Macaca fascicularis: one gene and its partners. The protein of the gene in region 3 interacts with the protein of the main gene of each other region in a pairwise test. Links are inferred from orthologs where the notes say so. Each region holds a gene or a part of one and is shown on either strand. Other genes may lie near its edges.

What was found.
Region 1: the proteins of CCNDBP1 (region 3) and C10H22orf23 interact in binary tests that used the Homo sapiens proteins (3 or more experiments, as listed by UniProt). The two-hybrid records come from large-scale screens. The link is inferred for Macaca fascicularis from reciprocal best matches to the Homo sapiens genes CCNDBP1 and C22orf23.
Region 2: the proteins of CCNDBP1 (region 3) and THAP10 interact in binary tests that used the Homo sapiens proteins (3 or more experiments, as listed by UniProt). The two-hybrid records come from large-scale screens. The link is inferred for Macaca fascicularis from reciprocal best matches to the Homo sapiens genes CCNDBP1 and THAP10.

Annotation. Positions count from the first base shown.
Region 1 is NC_088384.1:13,668,763-13,672,513, reverse strand, and holds the start of C10H22orf23 (UPF0193 protein EVG1), read right to left. Parts: upstream 2,911-3,751; 5' UTR 2,897-2,910; coding exon 2,804-2,896; exon of another isoform or gene 2,773-2,803; intron 2,444-2,772; coding exon 2,332-2,443; intron 1,575-2,331; coding exon 1,512-1,574; intron 1-1,511. Other genes in the region: POLR2F (DNA-directed RNA polymerases I, II, and III subunit RPABC2), read left to right, coding at 3,080-3,099.
Region 2 is NC_088381.1:47,677,924-47,681,574, reverse strand, and holds part of THAP10 (THAP domain-containing protein 10), read left to right. Parts: intron 1-3,343; coding exon 3,344-3,491; intron 3,492-3,601; coding exon 3,602-3,651.
Region 3 is NC_088381.1:19,780,384-19,784,134, reverse strand, and holds the start of CCNDBP1 (cyclin-D1-binding protein 1), read right to left. Parts: upstream 2,829-3,751; coding exon 2,457-2,828; intron 2,177-2,456; coding exon of another isoform or gene 2,097-2,176; intron 1-2,096. Other genes in the region: TMEM62 (transmembrane protein 62), read right to left, coding at 3,707-3,751. UniProt on the Homo sapiens protein: May negatively regulate cell cycle progression. May act at least in part via inhibition of the cyclin-D1/CDK4 complex, thereby preventing phosphorylation of RB1 and blocking E2F-dependent transcription.

The DNA of each region.
Region 1 (3,751 bases), on a different chromosome or scaffold from region 3:
GGTGATCTGCCTGTCTTGGCCTCCCAAAGTGTTGGGATTACAGGTGTGAGCTCCCACACCCAGCCTGACCTGTTTTTATATTTTATTTTATTTTATATTTTATTTTATATTTTATTTTTTTTATTATTATTTTATTTTATTTTATTTTATTTTAATTTTGAGAGCAGGTTCCCCTCAGTTGCCCGGCTGGAGTGCAGTGGTGCAATCACAGCTCATTGCAGCCTTGACCTCCCAGGGTCAAGTGATCCTCCCACCTCAACCTCCTGAGTAGCTGGGACTACAGGTGTGCACCACCACACCTGGCTAATTTTAAAAAATTTTGGAGGCTGGGTGTGGTGGCTGACACCTGGAATCCCAGCACTTTGGGGGGCCGAGGCGGGCAGATCATGAGGTCAGGAGTTTGAGACCAGCCTGGCCAACATGGTGAAACCCCGTCTCTACTAAAAATACAAAAATTAAGCCAGGTGTGGTGGCGCATGCCTGTAATCCCAGCTACTCAGGAGGCTGAGGCAGGAGAATTGCTTGAACCCAGGAGGTGGAGGTTGTAGTCAGCCGAGATCATGCCGCTGCACTCCAGCCTGGGTGACAGAGTGAGATTCCATCTCAAAAAAAAAATTTTTTTTGTGGAGATAAGGTCTTGCGGTGTTGCCCAGGCTGGTCTTGAACTCCTGGGCTCAAGCCATCCTCCCACCTCGGCTTCCCAAAGTGTTGGAATTACCGGCATGAGCCACGTGCCCAGCTGTTTTTTTTTTTTTTATATGAGGTCCTCTCTCCCTTAACATGCAGAAGCATTAAGAATGTGGCCCCCTGGCCGGGCGCGGTGGCTCAAGCCTGTAATCCCAGCACTTTGGGAGGCCGAGACGGGCGGATCACGAGGTCAGGAGATCGAGACCATCCTGGCTAACACAGTGAAACCCCGTCTCTACTAAAAAACACAAAAAACTAGCCGGGCGAGGTGGCGGGCGCCTGTAGTCCCAGCTACTCGGGAGGCTGAGGCAGGAGAATGGCATAGACCCGGGAGGCGGAGCTTGCAGTGAGCTGAGATCCGGCCACTGCACTCCAACCTGGGCGACAGAGCAAGACTCCGTCTCCAAAAAAAAAAAAAAAAAAAAAAAAAAAATTAAAAAAAAAAATAAGAATGTGGCCCCAGGCCAGGCACGGTGGCTCACACCTGTAATCCCAGCACTTTGGGAGGCCAAGGTGGGCAGATCACAAGGTCAGGAGATCGAGGCCATCCTGGTTAACACAGTGAAACCCCGTCTGTACTAGAAAATACAAAAAATTAGCCGGGTGTGGTGGCAGACACCTGTAGTCCCAGCTACACAGGAGGCTGAGGCAGGAGAATGGCGTGAACCCGGGAGGTGGAGCTTGCAGTGCGCCGAGATCGCGCCACTACACTGCAGCCTGGGCAACAGGGCAAGACTCAGTCTCAAAAAAAAAAAAAAAAAAAAAAAAAAGAACGTGGCCCCAGATCCCCTCTGGCCAGGAAGGCTCTGTGGATTGCCCCTTACTTTTCATGATGTCCATGATGTGGCGCTGCTGGATGTTCGTCAGTTTGGATTCCTTCATCATCACTGCACGACAAAGCATTCTGTGAGGCCTCCTGGGCCGCAGGCAGATAAATAACTGACTACAGCTTGTGCTAACCCCAGTGAAGGAAAATGTGTGAGGGTGCATAACAGCTGATCCTACTGTGGTGGTAAGGAGGAGAGATCTTCCTCGGGAAAGTTGAAAGTGTGATCTAAAGGATGCATAGGAGTTAACTACTCTAAAAACTTTAGTTCTTTGACTTTTGGCAAGCTGTAGCACCTTGAACCTCCCCCTCCTCTCCCCGCCTAAGGCATATGCAGTAGAACTTTGAAGCTTTCTGAACCCCAGGCTCCTTATCTGTAAAGGAAAATAGCAATTGCTAAGCCACAGGTCAGGTACGGGGGAACTCAGTTACAGAGGGTAACTACCACCATTCTTCTCTCATCCTTTAACTCAGGGGTCCCCAACCTCCCGTCAGTGGACTGGTACCAGTCCCTGGCCTGTTAGGAACCGGGCCGCACAGCAAGAGGTTAGCGGCGGGCTAGCAAGCCTCACCGCCTCCTTTCAGGTCAGTGGCGGCCTTAGATTCTCATAGGAGCGCGAACCCTATTGTGAACTACGCACGCGAGGGATCTAGGTTGCACGCTTTTCTTATGAGAATCTAACTAATATCTGATGATCTGAGGTGAACAGTTTCATCCCGAAACCATTTCCCACACTCCCGTCAGTGGAAAAATTTCCTTCCACGAAACCGGTCCCTGGTGCCAAAAAGGCTGGGGATCGCTGCTTTAACGCACTGACCTCTGAGCAGCTCGCAGGTCCCCGGGGTGTAAGTGGTCGTCTTGGGGCGGCGCCGGAACCCAGTTCCTTTGGTCACTACCTCCATCTGCTTCTGTGAAGCCATGGGAGGACCCTGAGGAGGGAAAGACGCAATGACACACCCCCTGTCTCCTATTCCTAATCTCTGTTCCCCCATGCCCAACATCCCCAGAAGTCTGGAAGCGGAGATCGAGCCAGAGAATGATGCCGCCAGTTAATATTGCGACAGTGCCTAAACCTCCCACCCAGACACAGACAGGTACACACACACAGTGCTCATTCTGACCCAGCGCCTGTGGCAGGGAAGTCCCCTCGGGAAGGGAGTGTTAATATAGCCATGGTCACAACCGTACCCACTGGGTGATATGCCAAAATTGAAATTTCACCCTAAGACCCACTCTGGGTGCTCCCCTCTGCACATACAAGTGGGCTCCCGGAGGCGGTGACCACTGACCACTGCTTTACAGCCGCACCAGCACCGGTGCCACGCAGAAATACTACGCGATCTGGGCTGCTGGAGCTGGCAGCTAGCGACTCTGGCTACCATAGAAACGCGCACTCACGAGTCAGCGCATGCGCACTTCCCCTCTCTGGCCTGCCTCCCGGAAGTGATTGCCTCTGGGTTACCGCGCAGGCGCAAGATAAGGGAGGCGCCGCGAGTTGTAGAGGCGCTATTTGCGGGTCTCCGTGCGGGACTGGGACGCAGCGGGGTCCCTGAGGCGGGGGTGTCATGTCAGACAACGAGGACAAGTGAGTGCGGGAGCGGAGTGGCCTTTGCGGCATATTCGGAAGGGGCGGGTGAGGCAGGGCTTGGGTCGAAGGCAGCTGAGGAACCTGGCGTCTAGGGGCAATGTCTGAGGGGCCTGGGGTCCTGAGGGGGCCGGCGGAGCCTAGGAAGGGAAGGGCGGGGACCCAGGGGCATAGCCCGGGCTGGAGGCTGGGCACAGGAGGGCCCAGGCTCGAGGGTCCAGAGGGGATCCGTGGAAAAGGTGTCCTTCAGCAAATGTTCCAGCGAGCCGGGCTCTGTGTCATGCAGTGGGAATACTGAGGTGAAAGAAGAATCGTCCTTGCCTCTCCACGTGCTCACTTTGTAGAATAGGCGGCATAGGCCCATAAGTAAGCAAGCAAGCAGGTAATGGTGGTCGCGTGAGCTTCCCCAGTTCTCCATCTGCTTCTGTGAAGTACGTAGTTCTAGAAGTTCTTCACAGTTCTAGAAGTACGTAGTGTAGGAGTACTCCACAGGAGGGTCTTGGGCAGCTCCCCGGGTGGCATTAAATAAAAGTCTGAGACTGTTCATTGCAGTAATTTTTTTGTTTTTTCTTGAGACGGAGTTTCGTTCTGTCGCCCAGGCTGGAGTGCAGTGGCGCGATCTCGGCTTACGATCTCGGCTTACTGCAGCCTC
Region 2 (3,651 bases), about 28 Mb from region 3:
GTGCGTACTGCACTTGGATAGTGTTCCGCTATGTCTATTAATCATATTTAAATTTCCTATATCCTTTTGGAATTTTTATCTTATTCAATTAATTACTAAGAAAGTGATGTTGCAATCTTCCACTGCGATTTTGAATTTACATATTAATCTTCAAATTCTACCCATTTTGTGGTCTATATCTTGAAGTTATTAGGTTATTAGCAATGTTATTAGGTATGTATATATTTTGAATCAAACTTGCATGGCTATGTTACTAGGTATATAGTGCTAATATAGCAACACCAGGTTTCTTTAACTTAGTGTTTGCATAGTACATCTGTTTCCATCCTTCTACTTTCAGTCTTTTCTGTGTTGTCCTTAAAAGTTTAGGCATGGCCGGGCACGGTGGCTCACGCCTGTAATCCCAGCACTTTGGCAGGCCAAGGCGGGAGGATCACGAGGTCAGGAGATCGAGACCATCCTGGCTAACATGGTGAAACCCCGTCTCTACTAAAAATGCAAAGAATTAGCCGGGCGTGGCGGCGGGCGCCTGTAGTCCCAGCTACTTGGGAGGCTGAGGCAGGAGAATGGCGTGAACCCAGGAGGCGGAGCTTGCAGTGAGCCGAGATCGCGCCACTGCACTCCAGCCTGGGCGACTGAGCGAGACTCCGTCTCAAAAGAAAAAAAAAAAAAGTTTAGGCATTATTCTGTCTTATGGTTACTCCATTGAAGAGAATGTATCTTTTTTCCTCTGACTGCTGTTAAGTTTTTCTCTTCATTTTCCAGTTTTACTGTAGTGTGCATAGGTTTGGTTTCTGTTGTTTTTATTTTGATAAATAGAAAAGGTTTATAGTACTTTTGCAAAACCATGACTTAATGCCTTTTATCCATTTTGATAAATTCTCAGCTGTTATTTGTTCAAATACTGTGTCTGCCCCATTTTATGTTATACTCTGAAATCTTATCCCCTATGTCTATTATGACATTTTCTGTATTTTCTGTTTTCCTTTTGTCTCTTTCTGCCTCATTCTAGATATTTTCTTTTGACTCATGTCCTAGTGGATTAATACATGCTTGGAAATTCTGCCTCTAAGCTTTTAATCTGAAGAAGCAATCAGATATCTACGTAGGAGATTTATGTTCAAATATTTCTAGTAATACGGATTGTTTTAATAAATTGTAGTATATCTGTATAATACATTCCTATGTGGCAATAAAAATTATGATGTAGAATATTTAATAACATAGAAAGATGATATATAAAATAAGTGGCAAAACTAGGTTATAAAGCATTATATTATCTCAATTTTTAAAAATACACAGAAAAAGACAAAAAACATCAAAATATAAAGTTTTAGCTATGGATTATGAGATTATGACAAATTTTTAGTTTATTTTTGCTTCTCTGTATGATGCAAATTTTTGCAGTAAAAAATGTATTATTGTTATAAAGGGAACAAAAGTTATTTTTCAAACCCTGATTAAATTTCTAAAACTCGATTTTATCCAGAATACACCTCTTTGTAAAGAAATATGTGCTTATTCTGGACTTTGACAATGCTTGACTTAGACGTAGATATAACTAGTGAAAATTGGTCATGATTTTTTAAACATGGAGATAAACCCTTTAAATAAGAATCATGTTACAAAGGGACTCTTCACAAAAATTTCTTTACAAAGTATCTTTTTTTTTTTTTTTTTTTTTTTTCCTGTGTGTGGGTATGTGTGTGTTTGAAACAGAGTCTCACTCTGTTACCCAGGCTGGAGTGCAGTGGTGTGATCTCTGCTCACTGCAACAACCTCTGCCTCCCGGTTTGAAGCAGTTATTGTGCCTCAGCCTCCCAAGTAGCTGATGTGCCACCACACCAGCTAATTTTTGTATTTTAGTAGAGATGGGGTTTCACCATGTTGGCCAGGCTGATCTCGAAATCCTGACCTCAAGTAATCCACATGCCTCCGCCTCTCGAAGTGCTGGGAGGCATGAGCTACTGTGCCTGGCCACAAAGTTTCTTTAACTTGGGTATCAATAGCCTGGGCCTATGGTACAGCCACCAAAGACACCTACTAAAATATTTTTTCAGTGGTTTGAAGGCAGCTGCCACTACTGCTAAACACTTTAATTTTGTTTTCATTTCTCTATCACTTATTTTCTCTCCTCCCAGGCCCTCTTGACTTTTCCAGATATTTCTTACCCTCTTCCACATAATCTGTAGGTACCCTGTCTTATATTACCTTTTACATATCAAAACCCTCCCTCTTTCTACCTCTGACCCATATTACTTCCCCCACAAATCAAATTTCACCGCCTGGCACAATGGCACACGCCTGTAATCCCAGCACTTTGGGAGGCTGAGGCAGGCGGATCACCTGCGGTCAGAAGTTTGAGACCAGCCTGGTCACCATGGTGAAACATTATCTCTACTAAAAATACAAAAAATTAGCCAGGCATGGTGGCAGGCACCTGTAATCCCAGCTACTTGGGAGGCTGAGGCACGAGAATTGCTTGAACCCAGGGGGTGGATGTTGCAGTGAACCAAGATCATGCCTCTGCACTCCAGCCTGGGTGACAGACGGAGACCCCTGTCTCCAAAAAAAAAAAAAAAGGAAAAGAAAAGAAAAAAATCCATTTCACAATGTAATTTTTCTCAGCAAAGTATTAAAAGTCATTTATCTTATTAAAGGAGTCCTCTATAAAGTATAAAGAACAAATGATTAGGTTTTCTAGAATAATATGACTGCTAAGATATCAAATTAGTTAATACTAATAATATTATCTCGGCTGGGCGCGGTGCCTCACGCCCATAATCCTAACACTTTGGGAGGCCGAGGCGGGTGGATCACCTGAGGTCAGGAGTTCGAGACCAGCCTGACTAACATGGTGAAACCGTGATTCTACTAAAAATACAAAAAAATTAGCTAGCCATGGTGGCACCTGCCTGTAATCCCAGCTACTTGGGAAGCTGAGACAGGAGAATCAATTGAACCTGGGAGGCGGAGATTGCAGTGAGCTGAGATCGCACCATTGTACTCCAGCTTGGACAACAAGAGCAAAACTCTGTCTCAAAAAATAAAAAAAGTATTATCTCTTCTAGCTGTTGATTTAAGAAAAAAATAATTAGTTGTAAGCAAATAGCTTATACATTCTGGCTGACCAGAGTTCATGATTTATAAGTGGAAAAAAGACAGTATGGCAGAATTCATGAAAGCTTGGACTATAGATTCACCTTGCCTAGGTTCAAGTATCAGCCTTACTAATATGTGACTGAAAATTTTCAGCTATACTCTTTTACTACTTGTAACTTTTGAAAGATAAAACCCTATAAGGTAAACTTTAATATATTTCTCCTCCGATTTATATTTTTAGATTACGTGTGAAAATGAAGTTGTGCAAACCCAACCCCATGCTGATAATCCATCTAATACTGTCACTTCAGTACCTACTCACTGTGAAGAAGGCCCAGTGCATAAAAGTACACAAATTTCTTTGAAAAGGCCCCGTCACCGTAGTGTGGGTATGTTTTGACTCTTCAATGGATTAAGCAATTGAATCGATCTTTTGTATATTAAAGATATATGAAAAGCAAAGTCTAACTCATAGGTACTTATGCTTATTCTCTTTCAGGTATTCAAGCCAAAGTGAAAGCGTTTGGAAAAAGACTGTGTAATGCAACT
Region 3 (3,751 bases):
TGTGGTCCAGGTTGGAGCCAGTCTACAAACTGTGACCAGTCAGGGATAAGATAAGGACAGTGACTGAGAGTGTTTAGAAACTTTTATGGTAATTTGACATTTATTCAACATCCAAGCACATAATTTTATTAAAGTATCATTCCATGCAGATTGGAATTTTAAAAAAACAAACAAAAAAAAACCACCCATCTTTTAGTAGGACTAAAGTGGTGAGATCTCAAGAAGGCAATGATGATTCATGTGTATGTATGTGTATATATACACACATATATACACATATGTATTTATTTGAATATATGTATATACTTGAATATTTGTATATATTTCAAATAAATCCAAATTCTAATTTTTCATCTATGAGTGAAACTACTGTCCTGAGCATGTATAGAAAATCAGTTCTATGCTGCCTCCTTGTGGTATCTTACTTGCAGTGAGTTTTAGCAGCAAGTCCTAAGTGTATTTGAAAGAAAGGGGTTAGCAGATAAGAAAAATAAGATAATATTAACTATTCTTTTTGAAATAGTCCATTTTCCATGAATCTTTTAAAGTGCCGTCATACAATTCATCTCTTGTTTCCTCATCACAAATCTCAAAGGTAGGCCAGGCACGGTGGCTCATGCCTGTAATCCCTACACTTTGGGAGGTCAAGGTAGGCAGATCACTTGAGGTCAGGAGTTCGAGACTAGCCTGCCCAACACGGTGAAACCCCGTCTCAACTAAAAATACAAAAATTAGCCAGGCATGGTGGCGGGTGCCTGTAATTCCAGCTACTCGAGAGGCTGAGGCAGGAGGACTGCTCGAACCGCATAGGCAGAGGATGCGGTGAGCCGAGACTGTGCCACTGCACTTCAGCCTGAGTGACAGAGTGAGACTTTGCCTCAAAAAAAAAAAATCTCAAAGGTATGTGAGGAGGAGAGAGTTTATCACTGTAGGTACATGCAGCAGAAGATACCTATATTCTTTCCAAACACCTATATATGTAGACTGAGAAATTAAAACTATTGACTATGAAAATCAAATAAGGCAATGAATATGCCATTTTAAAAGAATCTTACTCCCATATTAAGGATACACAGCTCTAGAAAAAACTAAGCATAGAGCATACGTGGTCACAGCCAACATGTTTACTTTCATTAGTTTAATAATAAAGGAATATTTAAAACGCATAAATTCTTTGTTCTAGCAATTCCACTTCTGGGAATTTTTTCTACTGATATACATACATACACAGAATTACGTAATTCATCACAACACTGTTTGCAGTAATTCTAAGTTGGAAACAGCTTAAATGTCCACATAGAGTATGGTTAAATTATGTTTATATCTAGTCTATTGAATACCATGCAGTCATTACAAAGAACGGAACAACTTTATACTAGCTGCTAAGAGTTGATTTCTAAGCTCTATTGTTAATTTATTTAAAGGAAGGTCCAGAACAGTGTTTATGGTATCTTACCATTTGTGTAAAAAGAAGCTGACACATACAAGATAAATGTTTATGAATGTATATATGTACAGAATGTATGTGGAATAATGCAAAAGGAACTGGGGGAGACAAAAATGAGAAAGTGGATGGAAGGATAAACTTAACACACTTAACTTTGATATCTTTTGAATTTTATACTATCTGCATAGGTTACTGATTAAATATAAAAAATAATATAAAAAGGGTATTATGTAGTATAACAGAATAGGTGTACCTTAGACATCAGATAGACCTTGATTTAAATTCTAGCTCCCCTGCTTTTTTTTAAATCTTAACCTGAGCTTCTGAGCCTGCTTGCTCATCTGTCAGATGGCCATCAAGTATGTGAAAACACCCAGCACATAAAAAGTGCTTAAAAAATTATCAGAAAAGAAACCACCAGGGTGAACTTCAGATTGAACCAATATTTATAAGACCTGCCTACTCCGCGCCAGGAAATGCACTTGGCAGTTCGGTCTTCACAACAAGCCTGTGAAGTAAAAAACGGTAACCTCATTGGACAGACGAAGAAAACAAATCTCCTGGCATGCGTGTAAAAGGTGGAAAGAAAATTAGAGGATTCCTAAGGTGTAACTCGGCAGCCCAAGGATTCCAGGAAAGTGAAGCCCACCTGTGGAGACGGCAGTGGAAGCTGAGAGAAGACTGTGGTCAGAGTCGTGGCTTCCCTTGACACTGTCACAGCTGCCTCATCTGGGGGGTGGCCGAAGAGAAGGCAGGTGCCAATACATTAGCGCTGCACGGACTTGGAAGATACGCGTTCCCTTACCGACCCAGACTTCTCAAAAACACCTCCCGAATGTCGATGTTAGAATTCTAGTTTACCCTCTCAGGTGCTGAGGTGGGTAAGGTATCTCACAGAAAGGATGCAGCAGGGGAGGGCAGTCCCCTCCCTGGGGGAGAGCGAGAGGGAAAGGGGTCGGGACGCTGAAGGAACTGAGGCAAGGGGAGCCGGGACAGGAGGCGCACTCACTGAGTCTTCTCCAGAACATCTCTCGATTAAACTCCTCGGTGGTCTCCTGGGCTTCGCCGACTTGCGGGTGTGGCGTGTGGGGGCCGAATGGTGGCGAGTGGAAAAGCTAAGGTAAGCGGACCTACCTCCCTCGCCCGAGCCTGGCTCCCCGCCGCCGCCGCCCCCGCCCGCCCTCTCCGCGACCCCGAGCCCGGCCTCTCCCCGATCCCGGCCTCTCCCCGAGCCCGCCCCTGCCGTCGCGCGTTCCAACTCCGTCAGCTCACCCCGCACTCGAGGCAGGAGCAACCGCAGCTCCTCCGCCAAGTGCCGGAGCTGCTGCAAAGGTGGAGCCAGGGTGGGGGCTGCGGCTGCAGGTGCAGTTGCGCTCGCCATCTCAGTCGCTTGCCGAAGGCCGCAAACACAAGCCTCCGCCACCACTGCCGGAGCCGCACTGCGACAGCCGCTCCACTTCCGGGCCACAGCGTCAATGGCTCGTTTCCGGCAACAAGCCGTCCAGCCCCGCCCCAGAGCCCCGCCCCCGCCCCCAGAGGTCCAGCACCACCCATCCCATTATGAGACCAGGCCTGGCCCCGCCTCCTCCCGCCCCGCCCTGTCCCCAGAGGTCCAGCACCAACCATCCCAGAGGCCAGGACAGGCCACGCCTTCTCTCGCCCCTTAAGCGAGGCCACACGAGCAAGGCTCAGGCTCACGGTCTTTCTTATTCATCATTCATTCATTTATTTGATTAGTTGAAAACACTTCCGACTAAGGAAGCAGAGAGCCCACAATCCTGCGGGAAAACAGGCCTGGGAACTAATCTCAGCCGTGGTCAGGGTCGGGCCCAGATCCTCAAAGGTTCCCTGCCCTTGAAATTGCACCTTTGACAGCTGCTGAATTTCAAGCACAGCGGTAGGTGCTTTACATGGGGTAACCCCTAAAAAACACACTGGGCCTCAGACACTCCCGTACACACACCCAACCCCTACCCTGTGGGTGTCCTAGATAAGGGTTTTCTCTTCACAAAGATAAATCAACTCTTTGCCTCCTTGAGGAGGGAAGGAATAAAGGCATTATTTTTGAGACTTTTCTGCAGTCCATTCTGCAGGTATCAGTAGTGGGTAATCCCTCCAACATCCAGGAGTCCAAACGAGCAGCAGCTCCCTAAAGCTCACGCACCAATACTGGCCCTCCGCCTGCTACTGGGGTAGAGGCCTAGGCTATAGACACAGAGGCTGGGCTTCTGCCCAGCTGCCAGTGGTGAGACATGGCCTTCAGGAGCTCAGGTGGCTTTTTAACTGCACCATGAAGATTCCAAG